2 linked regions of the Neodiprion lecontei genome follow. The protein of the gene in region 1 interacts with the protein of each later gene in a biochemical or structural test. Links are inferred from orthologs where the notes say so. Each region holds a gene or a part of one and is shown on either strand. Other genes may lie near its edges. The genes, in order: metal-response element-binding transcription factor 2 and histone-lysine N-methyltransferase E(z).

Region 1 (5,027 bases):
TTTTTTCTGATTGCGTTTCTTCTTTGGGAAAAATTAATACCGGAATATTATTGATCACAACATGGTTGTTGCATGCTGCACAGGCGATATTTCGTACAGTTCGATAAATTCCGAACACTCCTTGATCAATGAATCGCGTGTCAAGCACCTGGCGATTGTATTCTGCACGAAATATTCGATAGAATTTATATCTTGAATGTTGTCCATAATATTATCGTACAACTCAAATGCACAATATTCAACCTAGCTTACAGTATTAATAAACGATGCGCACTTTATTTTCCTAATGCAACGTATGTGTTTAATTTTTATTGATAGGCCGAAACTAACTACGAAGAAGAAAATCCCTTCTGAAAAACGAAAACGTTAATTGGAAATTACAAATGAGGTTGAAAGACGTCACGTCATTGTAACGATGCAGTTTCAGAAAATCTCGAATTGTCTGAAATTCAGTAAATCATAATACACCGTTAACAATATTGCCATATACCCATATATCGCGAACTTAATTCCTTGAAAGTTACTCTGAAGTTGCAAAATAATAATCTTTCTTTCAACTTTTCATTGCTTTAACGTTACCTATACCTTCGACCTCGTTATTATATACGCTGCAAAATCCTTCATGTAGAAATGTGTATATGTATAAATAATGTATATATTTTATAAATAGCAGTGAACTTGGCGGATGCTCGTAACTGATTCATCGGCCGATACCTGATAGACATATTACGATTGTCACTAATAACGTTTTGAGACCATCGGTGTTGAGAGTCATTTCCTACGAATGCTTTTTATATCGTGTATATTATGAGATCAAAGCTTTGAAATATTTCCTCACGTATAATTTGTGTGTATGTTTGTCTGCACGAAAGGTGAGAAATATGAGACACCATTGATATGCTTAGTTTATTGTATAAAATAAAATTGTACAACACGTATCTATAGCCGTAACAGTGAATTCACCAATAAAATGTAATATTTATTTTCTACGTCAATTCCTCAATCTTCATTCCCTTCTCATGTGCATACAGCTATTGAATCTTCCTAATATTTTCCGTTTGTCAACTGTATTATCCTCCTCTTAATAAATTCCGTTCCATTGTTGTTATATATTCAAATTAACAATGCAGCGAAATTTTTCATCGCTGAGCAGAAGAAAGGAGAAGAATTAAGAATGGCGGAAGAAATCGGTGCAAAGATTTCAAAATGGCAAATCATTGAACGCAAACAATGCGTGAAAAGCGATTGAATCTCGGTGCATTATAATTTGCAAAAAAGATTACAGTTGTCGCGATACAGGAACGTGCGTCACGTAGTACACATAATGCACGTAATTCTTACGTCACATGTTGTGGCTTGGCGGTCCCGTGACAGCAGCGAACATCGCGTATACGTAGGCATATAAATATTGCATTGCAAGTGCCCCGATTATTATTTTCCCCCTATTGTTCCTTAGGTCAGACATGAACGGCCAGTTGCCGATAGACATAATGATGCTTGTAGAGTTCAGTGCGCGTGATCAATTCCCGACACGACTATAAAACCCGGGTGTCGGGTTATAGAATCAGGCGTGTGTGCAAGTGGGTATGAAGTTATTACGAATGCACCACCGGACCGCCGACGAAGTATGTGACGAAAATGACCGGCTTCTGGTCTTTCCCGATAGCGATGTAAATACAGCCGTAATGTTGTAGATCGGTCGAAGGGTGGTAGGGCACAATTTCGTTCGGCGGTGAGTCCGGATCAGCGGTTAATTTGTCACCCCCATCGACGAGTTTAAAGGACCTTTCAGAATGTAAACAAATTGGAAAGGCGGACAGCATTATGGCAGTGAGTGTACCGTCAGGCGGAAACTGGACTGCTTCACGGTTTGACGAACTAGCGTCGGATCGAAACGAAGTCTCGGTCACCGATCGGTCGGTTAAAAAATATCTCGAAACCGGCCCGGCCTTGTTCTTTAGTGCTCGAATTTTTTCAGTGCGATGCAAGGATTGTTTATGTTGGGTTATTCGGTCGCTGATTTGACCCGCGTAGCAGCCCAGCAAGTGTTTCCCCAAACATGGCGGACGGAATGTATTCGAATTTGTTACATCTAGAATGAAATTAGACCGAATAATCGGCACAAATGAATAGCTGTAAGTGCGGGAGGTAGCTCGAGTCGTACTTAATGGATGTAAGAAACGATCGGTACAACGACAGGTGATTCGAGTCTGTGGGGATTGTGCGGAGACTAAATGAAATAGGATTTTGCCGCGCGCGGCCGAGTCTGTCGGGGCAACCGTGGCGGGGCCCCCATGGTTGTAAATGGCTGACGAGATGGAAAATGAAGAATAACATTCGCCTCTGATATTCCGGCCTAGACGTCAAGGTACGACCCTCAGAATATCGCGCTGGTTATCGCGAAACTTTCAATTTTATGTCACAAGTACACCGCTCAAACTCACCCAGGCTTCTATCTTCTTTACTCTTTTTTACACGGGGTTGTTTCGTCCTACGATTATCTTATATGAAACGATTGATTCGGTCTGTGGGGGATGCACACCGACCTCCCATGCACCCCCTGGGCGTGTTTCCGACTTTATCCCCGTCCTCCGACGACTCGAATATCATTCAAAATCCCCGAGACTTCGATCAGATTTTCTCAAACCTTGCATGCATTGACCCACTGGCTGAAAGTCCTCCAGACATCCGACTGTTTTTATTTTATTTCGGTTCTGATTATGTCCTTCGTTCGTTTCATCCCTATTTCCTAAAATTCATTATTCTATTTCTTATCGAATCTTTTGGTCTTCCACTCGTACCGTTTTCCAACGAAAATATATTCCCCCCGCAGATTCTATCAACGCGCAGCCAAAATTTACCCTCAATCATCTTTTCATACATTTATTTCTTTTCACCTTTGTACTTACACATACTGTAATTGTTTTCAATAAAGATTTTACCATCTATAAAGATTCATTTCTGTACCCGCTCTTTTGTCTTCATGTTTTTTCAACCTTCACACATTTGACTCGATCATCGATATAACTGAACTGACACAACTGCCAGCGATGTCTCAATGTTATCCACATTCATCCACCACCTGCCGGTTTCGTCTCTCACATTCATTGGATTTAATTTCTATAAATGTTGCAACATACCTCTTACAGGAAATTGCTCTACATCATTGGATGTTCATTAAACTCACAAGACCAGATTTCTTACGCCAATATCATCGCGTCATTAGACTTGAATTCAATGTTTTCTAACTTAGTTTTATAGTAGCTTAACATGTCAGTATATCAAACACCTAATTTGCAGCATCTAGACGAATATACGTATACATATATGTATGTATGTATGTATGTGTGTATATATATATGCGTACATATATCTTTATGCTGATCCTTCTCTCTGCCACAGAAACATTTATTTTTCATTCAAGTCAAACATAAGTACATTTTTCATAATTATATGCATACTTGTGTGCGTCAATCCTTTATTTTGTAACAGGGAAAAACGTATCTCTGTAAATCCTGGAATTTAAAATGTCTCACTACCACTGATCATTCGGGTATGCTTATTGTAACTGCATGCGCCTATTTACCTTACTGATTGGGTATTCATAATATCTCGTTTGTGAGCAAAGTTCGTCTTGATACTAACTATTCTATGAACCTTGTAACCATGGTAAAATTTATGCATTCAAAGGCAACCGATGCAATCGCAAGAAAGTTTCTAATATTTTTCAATTAGCCGCTAAACTTTTCACATTATCTTTTATGCTAGGGCAACTGGTCATAAAAGACTGCATTGATCTATAAATTTTATCGTCAAAACATTTGAAGACAATCTTTTGTTTCGACTTGAATCATAACTTATCAATAGAAATTCATGCGTGATACAAGTGGGGTGTAAATTACATAATACAAATAGTAGCGAGTATTGATGTATCACTGAAAATGAATTATCACAGGGCGATAAATGAGAGGTTATTTCTTTTTCTTGGAACAGTGAACATGCATGTTTCTTACATTGTACTATGAGCCTGATGCAGAGTTATGATTGTGGCAACTCAGAAATCATAAGTTGAGATATCTGCATTTGTTACAAAGTTTTACATATCACCTAGTCGCTGAACACTCTGCATCATCGCAGTGCTAAAGCAATCAATTTACCAAAGAAAGAAAAATGAGAACAGTAGAATTCTCGAGAGATTATCTTCGAAAGGTTATCGCATAAGTTTCGGTAATACATCTGCGTTTAAGAATTAATGCGTTTACGACACTGTCCATTTTGGAAATTAGCCTTTGATGGTAAGTATGTTGCAAACCTGAAAAATTTGTATCACGATGCCCACTTGTCAGTTAAAACTTGAAAGATAGGGATCAACTCATGACGTTTTGTATATGTGGTATAAATTTGTGAGAGAAAAATTATTTCAACAATTTCAGCAGCCGGGTTGAAAATGTCGGAGCCAGAGGAGAGTCCGGCTGTGCCGGATAGTACAACTAAGGAGCAGCGTCTCGGTTTCTCTCATGGCGAAGACGTTCTTCTCCAGCACAAAGATGGCAAATATTATCTTGGTACTGTCGTAGAGGTAAGCTTGATCATGCAAGTTGAATTTTATCTTCGGGTAGTACCACATTCATCAAAGGACTTCTCAGTTTGCGTTTGAAAAGATCTTTGAACGAGTTTACAATGTCTAAATATTATAATGATTTCAGGTGGATTTGGCCAGGGAAAGATGTCTTGTCAAATTTTTAGACAACACGTCTTCCTGGTCATCGGTAAAAGAGCTGGCAAAACTGGCAATGCCAGAATCAGACGTGATGTGCGTATTGTGCAAGAAGTCACAACCCAAGGCTGACAATGATATTGTTGTGTGTGATAAATGTGGCCGTGGTTATCACCAGCTATGTCATCAAGTACGAATGAGAGAAATCTCACAAATTTTACTAGCTTCATTCTCATTCACGTGCATTCGGTTATAATTGAAACAATTATATTTGTTTCAGCCGCAAATAGCTAAGGAAGAAACAGTTCCA
Region 2 (5,111 bases), about 9.7 Mb from region 1:
CTTTGTGAAAAGCAACACATTGTGTAAACAATGTATTGTGACTTGCTCAAAGTAATGTCATATTGTTATTAGCATTATCATTTTTCTTGCAAGCATTTACCGGTACTGAACGATTTAGGCATTTCAACAGCATTTCACAGATCTATGAGAGAGCAGAAAATATATACAAAATCTTGCAAAGCTTTTCATAAGCTTATAATATGTGAGCTTAGATATTCGCGAATATCAGTGAAACAATGACATGCAAGACAAACTCAAACTTTTACAAGGCAAGGAAATTTAAGCTAAAGAAAAAAAGCAGATAAAAAATTTTGGCTATCGTCAATGGCTCTGTTCGAATTGTCAAAAATAATATAGTCAGTTGATTAAAAAAAAAATATTTAAACATTTTCTGGGCTGTCTCCTGTGGAAAAGTTGAATATTTTATATTATGAACTTAAATTTTTGTTGATAAACTCTCAGCTGATCAATAAACTATTCCGATATCCCCTTGTGAGAAAAAGTTTTTAGATTTTTTTCGCGCACATTCGATGTAGCCAACCGCTCTGTTCAAAATATTTAAAAACTGAAAATCAGTTTGTTTTTATGAAATGGAAGTAAATAATATTGAATAATACAAGCATCTGAGATACAATCAAAACTTTGCAAACATATTGAATTTTTATAAAAAAAATGTTGAACTAGAATTTGAAATTTAAAAAATTATGTACTGCACAGATCCTCCAAGATCGTTATATACTTACGATGCAGAAAACAATCATATTTAAAACACCTTCTACAAAATAACGTATGAAAGGAATGCATTGTTTGTTCTCTAGGAACGCTTTTAGCATTAACACCATCTATGTTCGGCGTACATTCTGGAGGTAATGCATTTGGATCAGATCTTTCAGTAAGCTCAATGTACTTTTCTCGTAGCTCCTCAGGTCTACCTTTGTCAGGAAACATGCTTGATATAGCCTGTAAATATATTAAGGAAACATATTTCCATACATACACAGATTTCTGTTCAAACTGAATCTCAGGACAGATGAAACTGACTTCTGCAATGCTAAACACTTGTTACTTCAATTTACTAATTTTCAACTATAAAATAGTTTCGAAACTTGTTTCATAATACTTTAAGAATGCAGTCGACCTAATATCAAATAATAATCAAAATGGAAGTATAACATTCTTTCAAAAAATGTTTGAAGATTTCAACTTCAGATATGTCATGAGAAACTCGTTCAAACAACTATTTATGGCCAAGTTTTGATAGCCTGGATTAATAACTTTAAAGATTAGAGGTTTACATCTACAACTTTTGTCAGTCAAGATCTAGCAATAAACACACAGCCCAACCATTCAATCAGTATACCTGCAGCATGCTAGAACTGATGGTGAAAAAAAAATTTCAATTGATTCTCTGAGTAGTGTTTACTACCGGGAAGATATTTAATTTTCTAAGGAATAAAGCTGAATTACGGCTGAATTTTTTTGATAATACTCATACATTTATACTACTAACCACTACCATTAGTTACTAACCATATCCATTATTCTACAAGATTATTCATTATTTTTATTTATCATATTGTTTGCGGATAAGCAGCATTTAGCATTCTCAATTTGTTCTGAGAAACAATTGTTTTACGTCATTTGGGATATTAAATAGCTCACGTTGAATATGTGCATAGAAGGAAAAGGTGTAGTCCGAGATTCCTTGTCCCTAGAATCTTTTGAATCCTCGTCAATTTTTTCCAATTTCACTTCAATTTTCATACATTCCAACTCTGTTATTTCGCAATCATCATCTTTTGAACTTTCCTTATCTTTTGTGGATTCTTTACATTTCTTAGGTGGTTCCTTATCTCTGTCGTCTTTCTCATATAGCATCAGAGCATTTACCAAGTCAACAAATATAGAGTCATCCATAAAACCAGACTCTCGATCACCGTGAACCTAAAATATTCATGAATTCATAAAATTCATAGAATATTGATCAATTAGTAAAATGATACATTTTAGGATTGTTGTACTTGAAATTCCTTGAAAAAATTGCCTTTGTATGACCTTTAAATCCAAAAATTCAATCCCAATTATTCTTGTAAATTAGTATGATCATTATTTTGCACTAAAATTCTGCACTTCTCTTTGATTTTTGAGCTTTGGACAACTCACAACTCGCAAGCAAAACTTGACCTTACATAATATACATAAAATCTGACACATATAATAAATTTAAAATCTTTTCTTTCACAATTTTCAATTTTTTTTAGACTCTCTTCTTCTAATGCGCAATATGATGCATTATCTGTACATTTTATTATTGATTAGAATTGCCACATTGCATTGTTATAAAAAGCTCAGATGATCGTAAATAAATGTCTAAGAATTGATTTGTACTTTAAAATGATTACCTTGCCATCATAATTTTTTATCAACTCTTCAATAAATGTACCATCTTGATCAAGTATTTCGTCACCCATATATGGAATATTGTGTAAAACCGTCTCATCTTCAACCATAAAATTTTGTTGGATCGGCGCCCAAGTATACATAGTCGGTATAGGAGTTACAGCATTTATTATTTTTACTGGACACGTTTGAATATCACCGTCGGAGCTTGAAACCTCTGCTTTCTTCATACATGAAACATGAGGTGGAACCTCTTGCATGGCCAGCCATAGAGCCTTTCCATCTGCCCACCGTTTCTGCTCTATGACGAGCAGCTCTATCGAGAAGGCAAAAAAAATATCAGGTTCATTGTTCAAATATTTCAACAATTAAAGCTATGATTCCGATGTTTGTTAGCTAAAAGTAATTTCCAAACAAATTAAAAGATTTACGAATAGAATATGTCAATCGACAATAATAAAGACTAATTATTGTCGTGTAACAAAAATTGATTCAAAATGAAAAGTTTGTTTACCTGTCATAATTTTGCGATTCTGATTCCATGCTATTTTCACTTCATCAGCGCGCTTGTAACGTTTCAATTGTCGCAAGCGCATATACTCCGACTTTACACGTTTCTTCCACTCAGCCGAGACTTTAGCTTTCGACATTCCATTCACTTCTGGACACCTGATCAAAGATCGTGTTGCAAACGACTGCTATTTCGTCTTCTTCATAGAGAATTAGCTGCTACCTATCAGCCACGGAGTTGTAGCAGGTAGACAAAACTCTGCGATAAAACTTGTCCCCAGTTTTAAGGTAGCGTAAGAATTATCTGAATGCGGTTAAAGCGCCTCCTACGGACAAAAGTGAAATTGTACAAAAAGAAGGGCGGCGATGGCGGCGATCATCACCTATAAACCTCAATGCTATAAACATACTCCGTAAAATCCACCATTTGAAGTAAGTGAAAACCCGTAAAAACCAGTAAAGACCGAGTGATTGCTTTACCAACCTCAACCGACATTAAATCCGAGTAAAAGGTGGCAAAGGGTAAATCCATAGATGGTCTTGAACTGTCTAATCTAGGGACCTTGCCCGATGCCCCTTCCGTCTTTTTGGAAACTCCCGCAAGAAAGGGCTCCGCTTGGAGGCTGCGTCCATAAATCCGTGCAGATAATTGAGGTAAAAGCACGTCACGATCCATGTTTATATAAATATACATAGTCAATTCCTACCAAGTTCACTTCGGAACTTTACGATGACAGCAATGCTTTGGATAAAATCTAAAACTGCTAAACGATAAATTTTCGAGGACGATTTTTTCGTATGCTCTTCAATAGAGATCGGACTCCTGTTCTCTGGTCTCCATGGCTCGGGCGGTAAGCTGCAAGTTGATGTTCTCTATTGACAACGCAATCGACTGGTGCGTTCCGATATTAATTTCCAGTGCTGTCGACAATCTTTTATCTCTTTTGCGCTGCGGTGTTCGGGAGTAGCTCTGCCTCTGTCCTAAGAAATTTTTTAGCCCTGTCAGCTAATTTCAGAACGCACCCTCAGGGTGCTATTTCATGAGCAGTAAAAGGCAGCAGTGGTTTAGTAACTTACTAGTTTTCACTAGCATCAGTCTTGTAATTATACGCAGCAGCAGCGCTGCTCATGAAATAGGTCGTGGCTTCTTGTGATCTTGTGGCTTGTCGCTCCAGAAACTAGGTTTGTTCGTGCTAGCTACACTCTACACTCACGAGTGTAAAAAGAACTAGGGTAGTGTACTAGGGATTGCTGGGAAGTGTACGTCGGCTTCTTGACTGTAGCTAAAGATAGCGCGAACGCAATAGTGTAGAAGGTGCAGAAAAGTGGGGACAAGAAAATGGCGCACGTTACGAACAGTCGTTTTTTTTCTCGAAACACTTATTAATACAACAAATTAGTAAATAAGATAAAGCATTTTTGGAATTTGTTAAAGAAATCTTTCAGACCTTATGTTTTAAGTATACCGTTATCAAATTGAATGTTGTTTTTTAGTAAAATACTGTACTGCTTTGTTCTGATTTAGAGTGAGGTTATGGGTTTGTTGTCACTCGTGAGTTTTAAGGTATATCGCATCACAGTTCACTAACGTGGTGGAAAAACCTGTAGCATTCATGCCAATTGAACCATTTACACTTTTTACACTTTTTACACTTGGTCTAGACCGAATGTAAAAAGTGTACACAAAGGCCGTGTTCGAAAATTGACTGACAGTACTGTCAGCAATCTTTCATCTCTTTTGCGCTTCCAAGTTCGTGGATAGCTCCGACTCCGTCCTAGGGAATTTTCAGTACTGTCAGTCAATTTACGAACACGGTCAAAGTGTAACGAAAGTCTAGTGACATTTGTAAAACGAACAGCGCCATCCGACGTCACGTTCGCTAAAGCGAACGCGCAAGTGTACACTCCCCACGAAAGTGTAGAAAGTGTAGCAGTACGAACAAACCTACTGAACTGCGAGCAGCAGAAACTTGCGCCGGAAGTGATAGGGGAAAACTGCTGCAGCTGCTGCTTTTTACTGCTCATGAAATAGCACCCTTAATGAACAGCTCTGCTGCTGCGTCAAACTAGTAGACAGGTTTTTGTAACATCTAGTAAGTTACTAAACTCTTGCTGCTCTTTGCTGCCCATGAAATCCCACCTTAAGGGGGAAAATTGACCTTACAAATTCAATTTCCATATGTGTAAATACCACACCACAC

What was found.
Region 2: the proteins of metal-response element-binding transcription factor 2 (region 1) and histone-lysine N-methyltransferase E(z) form a complex in vitro, tested with the Drosophila melanogaster proteins (2 studies listed by BioGRID). The link is inferred for Neodiprion lecontei from reciprocal best matches to the Drosophila melanogaster genes Pcl and E(z).

What each region holds. Positions count from the first base shown.
Region 1 is NC_060261.1:15,228,819-15,233,845, reverse strand, and holds the start of metal-response element-binding transcription factor 2, read left to right. Parts: upstream 1-1,897; 5' UTR 1,898-2,368; intron 2,369-4,433; exon of another isoform or gene 4,434-4,436; 5' UTR 4,437-4,447; coding exon 4,448-4,579; intron 4,580-4,706; coding exon 4,707-4,907; intron 4,908-4,997; coding exon 4,998-5,027. UniProt on the Drosophila melanogaster protein: Polycomb group (PcG) protein.
Region 2 is NC_060261.1:24,934,490-24,939,600, reverse strand, and holds the start of histone-lysine N-methyltransferase E(z), read right to left. Parts: upstream 3,139-5,111; 5' UTR 3,051-3,138; coding exon 2,915-3,050; intron 2,717-2,914; coding exon 2,403-2,716; intron 1,945-2,402; coding exon 1,663-1,944; intron 961-1,662; coding exon 744-960; intron 1-743. UniProt on the Drosophila melanogaster protein: Polycomb group (PcG) protein. Catalytic subunit of the Esc/E(z) complex, which methylates 'Lys-9' and 'Lys-27' of histone H3, leading to transcriptional repression of the affected target gene.